4 linked regions of the Drosophila melanogaster genome follow. The protein of the gene in region 2 interacts with the protein of the main gene of each other region in a pairwise test. Each region holds a gene or a part of one and is shown on either strand. Other genes may lie near its edges.

Region 1 (3,984 bases), on a different chromosome or scaffold from region 2:
AATTGTTCGCCTTTGTGTGCGTGTATGTGTGTGGATGTCGGAGGTGAACGACAACCGACAAACAAAAACATAAACAAGTGTTTGTCTCTTTGGATGTGCTCCCAATGCAATACGCATGTCACATTCTCCCTAAGAGAACCAGATATTGAAGAGAATTCGTTGCAGTTGCATTTAGAATGCACTTACTTCTCATATACGCTTCCGATTAAAACCATAGTTCTGACCCATTAAAAAGTTAAAAAACAATAATTCTTTTCCTAACCCAAATTGACAGCATGAAATTAAATTTCCTTACCAATTTACAAAAACTTCAAATAGTATAATATTCTTGACACAATGCAAAAAAACCGGAATCCTTTTCAGTTCTATTTTGTTACCCCAAACTGTAACCTTCTTTGTGTGTTCTATCTTTAGTCAGCCCTGTGCCTCCCCCCTTTTTCTTGTACATATATGGGGCAAGTGTATCAGGACCGCCACATGGGTTCATTGCACCAGGCTACTGAGATAAATTTTAATATGTATTTACTATTTACATATATATAGCACAGTACAAAACTTTAAAACCTAACTAATCGCCCAGCGCCGGCACCTTGAATATCTTGGCCGTGTTGTCCTCGGATACCGTTAGCAATAGATTTTCCTGAGGCTTGTAGACAAACTCGTAGATGTGATAGTAGTGTCCCGTCAGCGTGAATTTCAGAATTCCTGTGCGTGCGTCGAATGCGTTCAGATTTCCCTGCGAGGTGGCCGCAAGTATCGTGTGGTCGTTCAACCATTTGATCCTGGAATAATTAATGCAATTAGTAAGCAACAACCAAATTAAAAGTTAAATCAAAGTTATAATATTTTTTACAGTTTTATGCGGTGCTCACCTTATGACAGCATCATTGGGAACTGGATTTTCGCATATGGTACGCAACGCTGATTTGGCATAGTCCCAGATGGATATCCTGCCGTCCAGCGAGCCACAGGCAAAGAGCTTTAGATCCGCCGAGGAGGGAGCAAAGGCCAGACACTCAATTCCGTGTTCCGACTGGATTGTGCTAACCGGACCGTTGTTAGTGCAGAACAGCATTTTTCCTGAACGAAAATAAATCTATTAGTTGCCGTTTATATGCAATGGAGAACATGATTGCTTTTACTAATAGTTTTGTTATGGAAACTGGTATTATACCGAATTCCTTTACCACTGGAGCACTCACCGGACGCCTCAGCGCAGACGTAGAAGGGCGATTCCCTTTCGCAGGCCACCACCGCGTGCGTGATCTCGCCGAAACCCATTGGATGCGATTCGTTTACGTCAATGAGCACCTGACAGCTCTTGAGATCCCACAGCTTTACGGATCCGTTCACGTAGGCCGTGAACAGCTTTTTGCCATCCCCACTGAGCTCTCCGGACTCGCAACGCGAAGATTGTCCCGGCAGGATTTTGCATTCACCGCTGGGTATGCGGAAAACGAAGACCTCTCCGCTGTCACTACCCGCCAGCAGGATGTGGGCAGCTCGATGCCAGAAGAGCCAGGACATGTCGCTCATGGAGTACTCCCAGATTTTAGTCAGGATCGGACGTTCGTCGTGCTTTTCACTGACCTTGAAGACAAACAGATCGCCGGCTAGATCACCGGTGGCCAAATAGACGCCGTCGTGACTGAAATGCGTTTCCGTGACGGTGTCCTTGTGCTCCGTGATCTCGTAGAGGACATCGCCGGTGGAGGTTTCCCAAACGAAAGCTCGATCGTCCTCGCTGCCCGTCACCGCCCAATTGTAGTTGGGATGCAGACTGCAGGCGAAAACAGGAGCGGTGTGCTTCTTGAAAGTGACCGTAGCTTCGTCCGTGATGGCTGCTATTCTCTCACGGTCACGTAGCTCCTCCTCGTCCTCCTCTTCATCATCATCGCCACCGGCCATTGCAAGCCGGGCCTCCAGTTGCTCCAGCGTCACCTCCTCCAAATCGTCGTCATCTTCGTCCAGCGGCTGCTCCTCCAGCTCAATTATCTCCTGGAGTTCGTCGTCGCCGTCATCGAAATCTGGCCGGTGTGGCGGTGTGTTGTCACGCATTCCTATTCTCTTAATGGTCCAAATAGCAAGTTAAGCTGCATAAAAATAACAATTAAATGAATGTATCACACGTGCTAGAAAATCAATGGTCTGGCAACTCGTTCGCCAATGTTTTTTAAACATCGATTGCTTGTTGGGACTATCGACTTCGTCGATTATTTTTTTAGCCAAAATACAGTGTTGCCAAATGTCAAAAATTGAGCGGAATTTTCAAATTGAAGCGGGCTATGCTGACACGTTCATCTTGGTAGTAAAACGTAAGCAGGTTTCATGATAAAATCAAACTATATTTTGGGGGTGTTATTTTTAATTCATTTAATGCAACAACAAATTGCAATAACGAGGAAGCCGATTAGGAACTCTAAAGTAAAGGTTTATAGGTTTGACCTAAGATGTATTGAAATTTGTTTTTACTTTGCGTTTGTTTGATCCTTATGCACAAATGAACAAAAGATGTTCTTAAAGCTTAATTATATTTAACGATGTTAAAAATGTCATTAAGCAAGTACTTAAATTAATGCTTAGTATATATTAATATTATATGGTATTATTACTATATTGGCTTTAAAGCATCATGACTATCTTTGAATTTCAATTATTTAATTTATTTTTGACAGCCTGAACTCTATTCATCAATTCATCAATAGAATCTAGATCACCAAAATCACATTCAGCATCGCATAGATCGGCTCTATGTTCAGTATTCTCCGCCTCCTTTTCCAGGGTTTTTATTTGCTGTTGTAGCGAAGCGATTTGGTCCAAAAGTGTTTTTTCGGAATTCGCTATTTGTTTTGGAAAATCCATGGCTTCAGCCTCAAGCTTACTTAGTTTTTCGTCATATTCCTTCGGCGTGTCTAATTTAGCTAAACGTTCTGCGATTAGATTTTCTTCCCTTTTCATCTCCTCTCTGAAAAGATTAATATTTCTTAGCTGTTCTTCGAGTTTGCGATCAATTTGTTGCTTGTCCATTTCGAATTTTAATCGGGTATATTGCAGTTGCCTCTCAAATTTTTCGATCCCATTCTCTGTTAAGTTGTCTATATCTTTTTCCAATTGATTAATATCTAGTTGTAATGAGCTCGTGCTTGAAACAGATGGATCAACTTTATAAGTCATGTCACTTTTTTTCAAGGTTAAGCTTTTCGGGCTATGATATTTCAGTTCTTTTTCCTTGTCTAAAAGTTCGTTAAAATGCGCTCTGACAACATTTTCTTGCTGATTATAATAAGCGACAATTTTATTTTTATCCTTTTCAATTTTTTCCAAGTAGTCATTTAGTTTAATAGACTCATTTGTACAAAATCTTACTTCACTTTTTTTCTTTAGGTTGATAGCGAAATCTGAGGTTGATTGACCTTTGAACTTCATGCCATTTTTCATGGAAATAACAGTTATATTAGCGAAGAATGATGGACTGTTTTCGAACATTTTATTAACATCGTCCACGGATTTTCTAAGCTTTGGCCAATTTACGTCTTCCAACAAGCTCAAGTTATTGATTTTATATTCCAATTGGCTTACTTTCGATTCGAGATCCTTTAATATGTTTTTTTGATGCCATTCTTCTCCGTACAAGGAATTTAATTTCTGCAGATTTTCCTTTTCCAAATTGAGCAGCTTTTCTGCATCTGAAATAGTTTTATTGGCTTCAGCTAGATTTTCATTTAATGGCTCTATTTGTTTTAATAATTCGCCTAGGAACTTTTCGGGTCTTATGTCATTTATTATTTGTTCTAAATTCTTAATTTGTGTTTGTTCGCCTTCACAATAAGTACTTTTTTTAGTTTGGTTCATGAGAGATGTTTCTAGTAGATCAATATCCCCAACATAACTCAAAATCATTTCTCGCAAGCTCTTTTCTTTTTGAATATATGGCTGGTGGTCAAGTTTCAGTGTCGTTGTGCCTTCGAATTTAAGATTGTCTGC
Region 2 (3,107 bases):
TGTCTAACGGTTTTTACTGGAAGCAGTTACATAGTACATATAGGCATGGTCGTGCAAATGAAAGTTTTTAGGGGGCTCATGCTTATAAAAGTTTTTTTTTTCTATTAATTCTTAAAAATCTCGATTCACATGTATTAGATAATTCAATGCCATTTAACGAAACTCATTTAAAAAGACTACTCTCGGTTACCACATTTCAAGTGATTTATGTGACATGCTCAAGAAGTTCTACAATAAATAATAAGAGTTTTGGTAGAATACACCAATGCTCTTCTAAAATATCCAGCCTACGCCCCTGATCCGAACTAAGCAGAACTCGCATATCGTGCAGCGATGCCCAGGTAAAATCCTTCGAAAAACGAGTTATCTCCTTGGATTTTTCATTGGTTTTCGGCTTATCGTTAGACGTGTGTTGAGGTTTTTATGTTTTTCCTGAGTAAAACAAACAATGGTACGCAATCCTTCACAAATAAATCACGTTCCCGACCGCAAATCTCGTCCGCTGGCCATGCAGGTAAACTAGACGACAGGCGTATTTCACATTTCTCCGGTTTATTGAATAACAGTGAATTGGGGGAAAAAAAATAATATTTTGGGATGGCGATGTTGGGCAGGCCTACCAGGATGGCGCCTTACCCTCGCTGCCGGCGGGACGGCCGTATAGGGCACTCTTGTCCCGGAACATGGTCATACGTTCCGTTTCCTTCTTGTCCAGGAAGTGGCCAATGGCAAATCCCAGCAGGGGCAACGCGCCCCACAGTGCTCGCTTATCCAGTCCCAAGACCATGGTGTATATTTGTGTATCCTCTTAGCGCTGATCCTTCAGCTGGGCTCGGTGTGCCAACTGGAGCTGCTGGCGTTTCCACTGGCGGGTGTGCGACCAATCTGCGTAAATCGATCCGACTGCAACAGTGGGAAAGAATATCACTGCGCCGTACTTTCGAGCCAATTGAACCACAATCCCACTGCCCATAGGTCTGCAAGACAAGCACAGGAGATGGCGAGATTTACATATGATTTACACAAATTGATGTGGGGATTGTTATGTTATGGGTTGACATTTTGCCGCATTACGTAATAAAAACGAGTGATTTCTCCCAGCGTCGTGATAACTGTGTTGATATTTTTGAGAACTTCTTACGCCGCGTGTGTGGAACGCTTTATATTGTATTTTTTGGGATTCTCTCGTTTAGTTTTAAACACAAATTTGCTAAATTAGTTTTGTTTTCAACTTACTTATAGCATCGATAGCACCAGGGCTGTCGAGTCGTTTTTAGTTTAATAAAATTTTGGCAGTAAGACTATCGCCGACAGGGATGCCACTCAGCTTAAGTCCCGACGTCAGCTAGAAAGTAGCAATATTTTATGTAATTCAAAAAAAAGTTTTAGATTATCAAAAAAGTGTAAATATAGGTAATTACACAAACATGGTCAAATATGGTAAATTGTAATTCTAAAAATATATTTAATATATTTAAAGACAAGCCGCTTATCGATAAGTGGGCGTCTATCGGACTTTAGCCATCGCTAAGCCGCCCGTCAATTGTTTTCATGAATTGACGTGTCTTGTTGAATGCGAAAAAACCCAGAATAGACCGTAAACACACACTCGCATGGAGTTCCTGAAGAGTGGCATCAAAACGGTGCTGGGCAGCACGGAGCCGGGTCAGCAGCCGAGTGCCGCCGAGACGGTGGAGAAGCTGGTGGACCGTGTCTACTCCTCAACGCTCCTGGAGGATCGACGGGATGCCTGCCGAGCGCTAAAAGCCCTGTCCCGCAAGTACCGCATCGAGGTGGGCGCACAGGGCATGCCTCCGCTGGTCCAGGTGCTCCAGAACGACGGACAGGATGCAGAGATCATCAGCTATGCGCTGGACACACTGTGCAACGTGGTTACTAGCGAGGAGTTCGACGAGGAGGCTGATAATCCCACCGTTTCGGTGAATGTGGGCGAGCAGTTCACGGAGATGTTCATCAAGACACCGGAGCATGTAACCCTGGTAATGGGCTATCTGGACGAATACGATTTTCGAGTGCGTCGCGCTGCCATCCAACTGATTACGTCCCTCATTTCGAACAAGACGCGGGAGCTGCAGGATTTGATTCTGGTCAGTCCGATGGGCGTTTCCAAGCTGATGGATCTGCTGACGGACAGCCGCGAAGTGATTCGCAACGATGTCCTTCTGCTGCTTATCGAACTGACCAAGGGCAACTCAAACATCCAAAAGATTGTGGCCTTTGAGAATGCCTTTGACCGCCTTTTTGAAATTGTCCGTGAGGAGGGCTGTTCGGATGGCGGAATTGTTGTGGAGGATTGCCTAATTCTGCTATTGAATCTTCTCAAGAACAACTCCAGTAATCAGCAGTTCTTTAAGGAGGGCAGCTATATCCAGCGATTGTCGCCAATGTTTGAGCTCTCACAGGATGCGGAAGAGGTTGGCTGGTCGCCACAGAAGGTCTCAAACTTCCATTGTCTGCTGCAGGTGGTGCGGGCACTGGTCACGCCCAGTAATCAACAGCAGGTGGTGGCCGCCTGCCAGCGGGTCATGCAAAAGTCTCGACTGCTCCATGCTCTTTGCGAGATTCTGATGAGCAGTGGTGTCCCTGCGGATATACTCACGGAAACCATCAATGCAGTGGCCGAAGTGGTGCGCGGCGATCGGGACAACCAGGATGAATTGGGAAGAGTTATGGCTCCGAGCAGTCCACCCAGACCTGCCATCGTGGTCCTTCTTATGTCCATGATCAATGAGAAACAACTGCTGGCACTGCGTTGCGCCGTACTCTACTGTTTCGAGTGCTTTCTTTATCGCAATGCCGATGGCCAGCGGGCGGTTGTACAGACCCTGCTGCCCTCCAGTGCGTCCGATGTGAGTGCCCTTTCGACGGGACAACTCCTTTGCACCGGACTCTTCTCCACAGATGCGCTTGCCAACTGGTTCTCCGCTGTGGCCCTAATGCACTCACTCGTAGAGAATGTCGCCCTAAAGGAGGAACTACTGCGCGTACTGCTGGCCACTCCTGGTGGCCAAAAGCCTATCACGCTACTCGAGCAGTGCACTAATCTCATGCAGCAGGAACGCTACCGTTTGCAAAGCAAGGTGGGT
Region 3 (4,142 bases), on a different chromosome or scaffold from region 2:
CGAGAGTGGGTGCGCGATAGCGTGCCCGAGCGAGAGGTGTGTGATATATGATATAGAGACGCAAACACCGTCAATTGTTTGATTGATAACGAAAACAGTTTCTTGTTCCCGCTCCTGATTCGACTTCCATATCGGGATCGGGCACCCGAGTTCCTCTTTGCGCTCGCCATTCGCTCTAATTATTTCGTGATTCCTCATTAATTGGTGTTTTTGGGCGTGACATGTGATGGGTAGATAGACAGTTCACCATCGGTTTCCGCACGAGCACCACGCACTCAATAAACAATTATTTGAATATTATTAATCCTACAAAATGCTGGTCTATATGGGTACCAAACGGCATTTTGATTATCTTTGATTGTGCTTTAATGGGGCAGTTATGTTTTGTTTTATTATTAGGCCTGGCTAGTACAAAGCGGCTAGAAGTTAAATATATTTTCACATACTCATCATTTAAAAACAAAAGTGTGCTTATGAGATTATGTTTACCATCCGTCTAATGAGAAACTTCTATACTTCACTGAATAATCATTGCTCAGTTACAAGCATATTTTATTCTTAAAATTCGTGCATTAGTATTTTATTGAAAGCAGTACATTTTATATGTCATGGTATTACAAATTTTCTTTCCCAGAGAACGTTAGGAATCACTTTAGCAATAGTATTCTTTATATATATATAATGTATAGCGAACTAGCACTGGAAGGCCCCTCGATTGTTCAACCATTTGAGAATGGCGCTAACGTGCTTCTTATATCGGGCATTGGAGTACATAGCCAACTTTAGACCATCGCCATTATCCGTCTCGGTGACGAAATCGGTCAGATTTGCATCTTCAGTCCGATCGAGCAGCACTGGTGGGCAGAGAATAAAAGCAATGTGATACCCTACGATTGGAAAAGAAATCAGAACTTGGTTATCTACAGCTTTGCAGAGCGAGGTTTCCACTTACCAACTCGTCCATATTTCAATAGCTGAGTATGGAGGAACCCCAACGTGGGGGTTTTTGCTTCGGGGTAGTTCAGCATTCTCAAGTGCTCGACCAGGTGATCGTGGTAGTACTTGATGAAGTAATCGAACTGACTCAATTGGATTTCGAATTTCGTCGAGCCCAGGAGGAAATAGATCAGATCATATGCCACGCTCGTGACCTTGGGCAGTTGGAGATCCACGAAATATGTCTCGATCGGTTCGGGCGACTCGTCCTCGTACTTAAACATGATGTTGCTGGTCCAGCAATCTCCATGATTCAGAGCATTGAAGTCCTGCGGATCGGGCGTGTTCATAGCATACATAAGGTCGACGATTTTAGGTTGCATCTTGTGCTGTACAAATAGATTATTTTGTGATGAACCGTGCAACCAATTGGTGCATATAGCTAAAGAAACATACAACCGCCGCACTGTACTCCTCGTAACCCTCGTAGAGTGGCAGGCACTTGAGGAAATACTTGCCCAAGGTTTCAGCCACCTGTTCGATGCTCTCCTTCATGGTATCGGCGTACGTGGGTTGCAAGTAGTTCTGGGGGTACGGACCCTTGAGATGGATCCTGGTGGCCGATACCGCATGCCACTGGGCCATCTTCTTTAGAACACACTTGGTGTGAACCATGTCTAGGCCCTCCAGGCGATCGACGTTCCTGAAACCCAAAGGACCCAGATCCTGCAGAAGTACGTAATCATCGGGCGCGTCGATTTCATAAGCCTTGGCCCCAAACTTGACCTCCACGCCCACATCCTTGTACATCTGTTCCAGCTCGGGAATCACCTGAATGAACACATCCCTCTCCACAGCAAACATGTTGTTCTTCCTCAGAATCTCGCGATACATCTCGAAATCATAGGGAGTCTTCAGCATATAGCTCACATTTTCGATTGTGTGATCTGATGATGGAAATTTCTGCTTGACTTTCCATTGTTCACCTGTGACTCACACTCACCCTGCAGTTCGACTTCAAGCTTGAGGCGCAGCATAATTGTGGAGTAGTTTTCTCCCGGCTTGAGCCCGGCTTCCGGCTTGAAACTTTTGATTCCGGCATAATTGCCGCCGTAACGTTTACTTAGCAATTCTTCGAATAGATTTGCTCTCAGCCAGGTGGGCATAGGCGCTGTTCCTGTCTCAGCCGTCATTCTAAGCAAACTAAGAGTTTATTTGCCGGCTGGTCCCGTACAAACATGTGAGCAAAACTTTTTTTCTCTGTATCTTTGTTTGCTACCAAAACAAATGCCAATACGAAAGCTCCAAAAGCTTGTCGGAAAACAAAGAGAGTGCTGGATATGGAGAGTTCTCAAAACAACTTGTTTTCAAAGTCTCGAGTGATACATACATATAGACCAAAACAAACGTGGGGGGATGCATTTATACCCATATAGAAGCTTGTCTGTCATATAAGTGTAAGTATTTAAAGACAATAAAAATAATTGTATGACCATAAAAAAAAATGCTTATAACTATACTTATAGTTATATTTACCTATATGTAAACTCCGGAACAAGTTTTTTATTAACCACAATGTTTGTTAAACACTAGTTAGGTCTTTATTAGATATTACACAATATGCTACTTCTACTATACTGTATATATAAACCTTGAGTGTAATTTTTTCGTTATACGCCATACGATTTAATATTGTGCATTCTAAGTATCTATTCCATAGCTCCGCGATGCTGAAGCCATGGCAATAGAACCTCCATATGTTTGCGAAATCTGGGATTAATGTATAGCGAGTTCTTAAAGCTACAGTCGTCATCACCAAGAACCTTATCAAAATCGGCTCCGTCCACGGGATCCAGGAGGACATATGCCAATATAGTTGCGGTGCAGATGAACGCTGAAATGTTTTTTTTTATAAGATCTGAACTAATGATTAAGTAACGATTGAAAACTTACACCATCCACTGTATTTGTTGAGAGCGTCGTTAATTCTTCTTAAAGTGGGAAGAGTTTTCGAATATCCAAGCAATTTCAGATGCTTTACCAATTCGGAGTGGTAAAACCATATGAAGTAATCAAACTTTGATGTTTTTATGTCCAAGCTTGTAGAGGACAAAAGAAAGTAGTATAGATCCTGGGTCACTGATCCCCACTTAGGGACTTGCAGATCGACAAAGTAGGTATCCTGTATCTCGCCTTTCGTATTGTACTGGGACATAATGTTGTTGGCCCAACCATCGCCATGGTTTAACGCAATAAATTCATCAGGACTCGGATTGTTGAGGCTCTCCACAATTTCGAATGTCTTGCCGGAGACAATGCGCTGTAATTAATGATAAGATAGAAGACTTGAAGATACGAATATCAAAAGATAAATTACCCACCAGATCATTTAGATAAGTTTCGTAACCCTTGCACAGATGGACGTTATCCAGAAAAACTTTTATGCTCCGATTAATAAAGGCATCTACGATTTCCTCGTTCCTTAAAAAACCCTTTGTGTACTTCTCCTGATAAGGACCCTTTGTTTCTACGCGAACGGCAGAGGCCGCATGCCATTGGGCAAATTTCTTGAGAACACATTCGGTGTGAGCCTGGTCCATGCCTTCGAGGCGATCTATGTTCCCGAATCCACGTGGCCGAAGATCCTCCAGCAGGACGTAGTAGTCGCTGGCCTCTATGTCGTAGAGTTCAGCTCCAAATTTGACCTCCAATCCCACATCGCGATACAGTTGCTCCAGCTCGGGCACTACTTCCACATACATTCCTCGCTCCACATCGAAGATATCTGTCTTCTCGATTACTTTACGATACTGCTCTGACTGATGGGGAGTTTTAAGCATAAATGCCTTGGTTGTTTGAGTGTTATCTGCAAGGTTTACAATAATTGAAAGATAATTTCAGTTCAAATACGCTGATACCCTAATTCATTAGTCCTATAGAATGAATTTAACGAACCTTCTTTCTCAACATCCAGTTCAATTCTAAGCATTACGGTGGCATAGTTTTCGCCAGCAGCGACTCCTGCATTTGCCCTCATGGATTTCGTTGCTTTGTAATCCTTGACAATCCTTTTAAGCAGCTCCTCAAAGACTGTTGGCTTAACCCAATCCGGAATGGTGACCTGTTTTTGGCTAACATCCTCATCCTTTGTCTGGGGATGCATCTTGTAATAAGCTGTTTCAGTTCAGCGCACTTACTGCAAGCTT
Region 4 (5,603 bases), on a different chromosome or scaffold from region 2:
CGTTCGCAAATGGAGCTGGATTGGATCGGGTCGGGTTGGAGCTGAAGCTGAAGGTGGCTGAAGGTGGGCACCTCGACAAATCCACAAATGTGTGGATTGCACTTGAGCCAGTCGAGGCATTCATTCAGGCAGTCGGCCCACAGCTGTCGACAGTGGGCCGAGCTAATAAAATGAAAACAAAAGTGGCACCGGCAAAAAATATAATTTATAATGTTGCGCATACCGCAAAAATGTCAAACACGCCCCAAACCGATCGCCCGCCCGCGCATAAAAACAACAACAACAGCACATGCGGGTTCAAAAGAGCAGTTTGAAGTTGGTTTGGTTTATTCAAATTAAATTGGTGGCAGGCAAAGGCAAACAAATTAAGTTGCCGATACGAACTCAAGAATATGGAGTGTGCCATATAGACTATAAACGAGTATATAGGCGCATATAGCCAACCGCCCTCCCGATTTCGCTTATCGAATGCAAATAATCAAAGTTAGCCAGGGTGCAAGCACTCATTATATTGCAACGGACAAGAGAGGCTCACTGCTGCACTTGCAGAAAAAATGCAATCGGATTTCGGATACGGAATCGAAATTCATTACATTAAATTATATTTATTTCTTTATGTATATATATATATTTATATGTTTAACTGAGCTATAAAAAAATAATAACATTTTGGGGAAAAAAAATCATCTCTTCTCTTTAATAACTAAGATACTCAATAATTGTTAAGAAGTTGGGATATTCAACTAAGATACATACAAAAATTAGTTACAACAGCATTTCTTTCGAAATCGTTCACTCACCTAGCATTCGACGAATATCATTTTCTCTTCTTAGGGATTATTCTTAGTTAAGGATAGCTCATTCTAAGTTAAATAATTTTGATTTTCCGAGTGCATGAGTGCATTTGGGAGTGCAACATCTAGATTAGCGGACAGCAAAGAAATGCTGCAACATGTGGCAACAGCGGTGGCCAAAAGTGAATAGAAAATCCATTTTGCTGTCTTTTGTTTTCCGCTTGCTTCTTTGGGCAGTGCTCTTGTTTCTCCTTTTTTTTTAATTTGCAAAGTTTTCGTTTCGTTTTCCGATGCAGTTCAATGATTAAAGAGGCAAACGCCCAGAAATTGGCCAGCTCACATTTCGTTATGGCCACCATTGGGGCATGTTGCAAGCGGTGGGTAAGAATTTTTTAATTTGATCGAGCGTTGCGCTTGGGGCGGGGCTCTTGGGCGTTTTTTGGAAAGGCACTGATCGATAAGATCGGCCTAATCCCGTGGCCAAATAATGAGTGCTAATTGTCCGCACCGCGGAAGTCAAAGAACTAGCACCCGAAACAACACCAAATAAAATACATTAATCGCCTAATGTTGAAGCCAGGTTGAAACCAATACCGGCAATTAAATCGCGTTGAAAGCAAGGTCATGGCAGCTGTGATTTTTTCCACAGTGACAAACGCAGCGCGGAAACGCACGAGCAACATGTTGCCAGTGCAACTGCAGGCCAGCAACATGCTGCAGCGGCACTCCACTGCAAGCGATTGATACACATTCTTCGGCTGCGATATCCACTTCGGCTCTGGCCAAACCCCGCTTCGAGCCCCGATTAAAGTGGTAATTCGATTACTCTGGAACTGGTACCACACATTGTTCTGCTCTTGCTCTCGTTGGCTTTTGTTGGCTTTTGTTGAACGCCCGATATTGCTGGTGTTGCGGTGTTTTCGCTGCTGTTACCAATGTTGCGCATGCGCCGGCGTCTCAGCCGGAGTCTCGGCTGCAGTGTCTCTGCTCCCCAATCCCCAGTCTCCGGGCTCGCTGGTCTCGGGCGGTATATATTAGGGCCGCCAGCCAGCAGTCAGCACAGTTCGTTAACAGTCCTAGTCGTGGTTCTAGGAGGTTCAACCAGCGTCCAGCGACCAGTGCCTGTGCCCGTGTGTCGTGTGTAGTTAGTTTTCCGTTCATCCGCAGTGTGTCCCCGAAACTCCTTTTCGAAGCTCAATCGTGTGATCATAGCTAAAATGAAGCCATTCGTAAGTATGCGCCATGGGATCGAAAGGATAACGCCGAGCAAGAGGATTAAAGTTATAAATAATATGAGTTGGAGTGTGTAGATTACCGTGAGGAGAAAAGGATATTTGGATTCCGTGCTTGAATTACTGAGATACATTTCTAACTTTTTCTGTTCTACAAATTAGTGATTAACGTCTCTGCATGTAATTTATTTTTCTTAAAGTTACAAAATTTTACCATAAAAGTGGGCAAAAGTTCATTTAATTGATTGATTCTATCATGAAATGCTTAAGTTCATTAAAATCGTAGTTTAATGGAACTATGTAAGTCCACAGCCAGGTTTCGCTAGTTAGAACTGCTTTTTCATTTTCGATCTTTGGGATATGTTAATCGGTATCAAGAGAGAAGTGTGGCATACCAAATCTTTAAATTGGATTTTGTCAGCCGTTCGAAAAGTAAACACTAGTTTGACAGTGACTTGCCATTAAGTTTGAATGAATTCCTGGCATTCTTTTAATCTGTCATAGCGCAATTAATTTAAAATTCAACTGACATTGCTTTTGTAAACTCAATTTATTTCGCTTAAATTCCGCTCCGAACGAAATGGCACCTGTGCATCGTTCAGTTCCATCCGAGAGTCAATTACCATGGCACGTCATGCTAAACGTACCACCCAGCAAACCATCAGCTGCCATGGAACTCCGTGCGAAATCCCGTTGATAAGCCGCTGACATGTTGCATGTCGGACAGTTTATTCAACCGTTTTTCCACCACTTTCTGCCCCACTCACCTGCTGACACATAATATCGTACATAATCGCGCCGCATGCGGTAATATCTTCGAACGAATATTGGCCGACCGACCGACTACTGACTACATATCTCGGAATCAAATCTAACGGTTGCGCTTCGCGGCTCTGAAAAGCGAAACCATTGGAAAAGCGAATCCAGAGGAGAAGCGAGTCCAGGAGAAAAGCGAAAAGATGGGCGTGTGGGGCAAGAAAAGCGAGAGGAAAACGCTGGCGCAAGAGCAAGAAAAGCGAAAAGCCTGTAATTAGGTTAGCAGAGGCGGCTTATAAGCTTCCACTGAGTGACACCTGCGATTAACGATTTTGGGCGGTGGCTACCGCACGAGTAATTATTGAGCAGTCACATAATCCCACGCCTAACACCTTCTGCACTGTGAGAAACATGTAGAAGCTATATGTTAAATAATTTGAAATATTCAAAGAGATGAAGGTACAAAAGTTCTCTAATCGGAATTCAACATAGGCAAAATCAAAAAGATTTTTAATTATTATTATATATATATTTAATATATAAAAATCAGTTCTGTAAAGCTATATTGAAATTTGTTAGTTTTTTTTATCAGCTACATCAAAATTACAAAAAATAATTTCCCATTTTTATTTAGTTTATTGCCGCAGCGTTGCTGATCTCGACGGTGTCCGCCTCTTGGCACGGAGCCGTCTCCACACAGTACCAGCACCTGGACCCGCACAGCCACACCTACTCCTACGGATACGCCGATCCCAACTCACAGAAGCACGAGACGCGAAGCCATGACGGCACCACGCACGGCTCCTACTCCTACGTGGATGGTCACGGTCATGTGCAGTCGGTGTCCTACACCGCTGATCCGCACCATGGCTTCAACGCCGTGGGCACCAACCTGCCTCAGGCTCCTCAAGTTCATGCCGCTCCCGTTTACGCTGCCGCCCACGCCCATGGCGCCTATGCTCCTTACGCCCACGGACCCATCCACATCCCGGTGCTGACCCACGGAGGCGTCCCCGTCGATACTCCCGAAGTGCAGCACGCCAAGGCCGCCCATGCCGCTGCCCACGCTGCTGCCGCCCACAATGCCGGAGGACACCACCTGTACAAGCGGTCTATTTACGGCGGAGGATGGGCCTACGGACAAGCCGCCCATGTGCCGCTGACTCATGGAGGTGTGCCCGTTGATACTCCCGATGTGCAGGCCGCCAAGGCCGAGCACTATGCCGCCCACGCCAAAGCCCTTGGCCATGTAGCTCATGCCCACGGTGCTCCCGTTGAGACACCCGAGGTGCAGCACGCCAAGGCTGCGCACTTTGCCGCCCATGCTGCCGCCCGTTCTGGACATGCCGTTTCCCCCATTAACCACGGTGGCTATCACGTGCCGGTAATCCACAATGGAGTACCCGTCGATACGCCCGAGGTGCAGCATGCCAAGGCCGCCCACTACGCCGCCCTGTCCCAGGCCTCCGCCCACGGAGGAGCCTCGCATGGATCCTGGGATGATGGCAGCTACGACGGACGCTGGGAACAGAGCCACAGCAGCCACAACAGTTACGCCTCCGGCTATGCGCACAAGGGACCCATCCACATCCCGGTCATCCACAACGGAGTGCCCGTGGAGCCTGCCGAGGTGCAGCACGCCCGTGCCGCGCATCTGAATGCGTTGGCCGCCGCCGGACATGGAGCTCCCGCCAGCCATGGTAGCTACTACGGTGGCAATGGACACGAGGATGATGGCCAGTACCACGCGCACTATGACCACTATTAAGTGACGAGTGGTCGGCACTTGAGAGAAGTTTAACTTCCGATCGACGACGAGCATCTCTATACACTCTGACTAACCGACTACCGAAGCCAGCGTGGCGTATGCGTAACGTTGCATTGCGTATTCGCTCGCCAGTGCCACTTTTATACAGCATTCGCAACTCTCTGTCTTTCTATACATTTATCTGTTCTATTACTGCTTCTATTTCTTAACCTCTGTCACAAAAACACACGGAAAACTGAAAGCTACTACACACGGGAGATTGAAGTGCTTCGTTAGAAGCCTTCCTTGCCCGCTGGGTTTTGACCGATTTGGATTTTCGATCCAGTCACAGCACACACATCTCTACCTACCTACCTACATACTTCTCTCTGTACTAGGATTTTCCCTCATTTTTTATCTATATCTTTATCCTCCTGTTACTTCGATTGAGAAACGCTGTATGAGTATGTTGTAAATAACAGTTGTAATCTTTATGTATCTGACCAGATATAGATCTATATTTTATATGAACATGCAAACAGACAAATAAACTGCAAAAATGTATTTGATCACAATTTGAAGTGTTTGGAACTGGTGGTGGGATTGTGGTATTAAGAATTTAAAATCAAAGCCCCAGGATGCAATGTTAACTTACTTCTTGAGATAAGCTTTTAAATTTTGTTGGTAAAAAGCGCAGCCCTAAATAATTAGATAAATATTTCGCTTTACATTTTTCAACATATATATATAAATTAGTTACTTTTTTAATTTAATCAATGATTTCTGTTAAAATATTTCAAAATTTGCTAAGGCTCCTAGACAAAAATTAAAACACTTTTTAGGCTTATTAGATTTAAATTCAATCGAACTTATTGTATTTAAAGTTGGAATTGAAAATTCATCTTCATCCTGAAGATAAAATTCCACATTTAATGATTTTTCTGATGTTTTGTCATGTTAATTAAAAGGCCATCCAGTTTTGGGGCTTCGCATCCATTTACTTTAAACTCTGTTGCATATTTCCCAGTCTCAGGTCAAATGCCGCACCACCCAGAACAACCATCTAAACCACCA

The links.
Region 1: the proteins of ND-MNLL (region 2) and CG5114 interact in a two-hybrid assay, tested with the Drosophila melanogaster proteins (one large-scale study listed by BioGRID).
Region 3: the proteins of ND-MNLL (region 2) and CG10559 interact in a two-hybrid assay, tested with the Drosophila melanogaster proteins (one large-scale study listed by BioGRID).
Region 4: the proteins of ND-MNLL (region 2) and Cpr92F interact in a two-hybrid assay, tested with the Drosophila melanogaster proteins (one large-scale study listed by BioGRID).

The regions. Positions count from the first base shown.
Region 1 is NT_037436.4:14,981,009-14,984,992, reverse strand, and holds CG5114 (uncharacterized protein), read right to left. Parts: upstream 2,159-3,984; 5' UTR 2,059-2,158; coding exon 1,143-2,058; intron 1,081-1,142; coding exon 873-1,080; intron 783-872; coding exon 569-782; 3' UTR 507-568; downstream 1-506. Other genes in the region: CG3349 (uncharacterized protein), read right to left, coding at 2,650-3,984.
Region 2 is NC_004354.4:7,892,514-7,895,620, forward strand, and holds ND-MNLL (NADH dehydrogenase (ubiquinone) MNLL subunit), read right to left. Parts: upstream 1,286-3,107; 5' UTR 1,237-1,285; exon of another isoform or gene 1,075-1,236; intron 1,049-1,074; exon of another isoform or gene 978-1,048; 5' UTR 974-977; coding exon of another isoform or gene 809-973; 5' UTR 788-808; coding exon 617-787; 3' UTR 540-616; downstream 1-539. Other genes in the region: CG45089 (uncharacterized protein), read right to left, coding at 809-973; p115, read left to right, coding at 1,614-3,107.
Region 3 is NT_033777.3:25,313,976-25,318,117, forward strand, and holds CG10559 (uncharacterized protein), read right to left. Parts: upstream 2,142-4,142; 5' UTR 2,130-2,141; coding exon 1,940-2,129; intron 1,884-1,939; coding exon 1,393-1,883; intron 1,326-1,392; coding exon 953-1,325; intron 888-952; coding exon 694-887; 3' UTR 519-693; downstream 1-518. Other genes in the region: CG10553 (uncharacterized protein), read right to left, coding at 2,646-2,830, 2,890-3,256, 3,318-3,802, 3,892-4,099.
Region 4 is NT_033777.3:20,667,720-20,673,322, forward strand, and holds Cpr92F (cuticular protein 92F), read left to right. Parts: upstream 1-1,851; 5' UTR 1,852-2,011; coding exon 2,012-2,023; intron 2,024-3,416; coding exon 3,417-4,550; 3' UTR 4,551-5,102; downstream 5,103-5,603.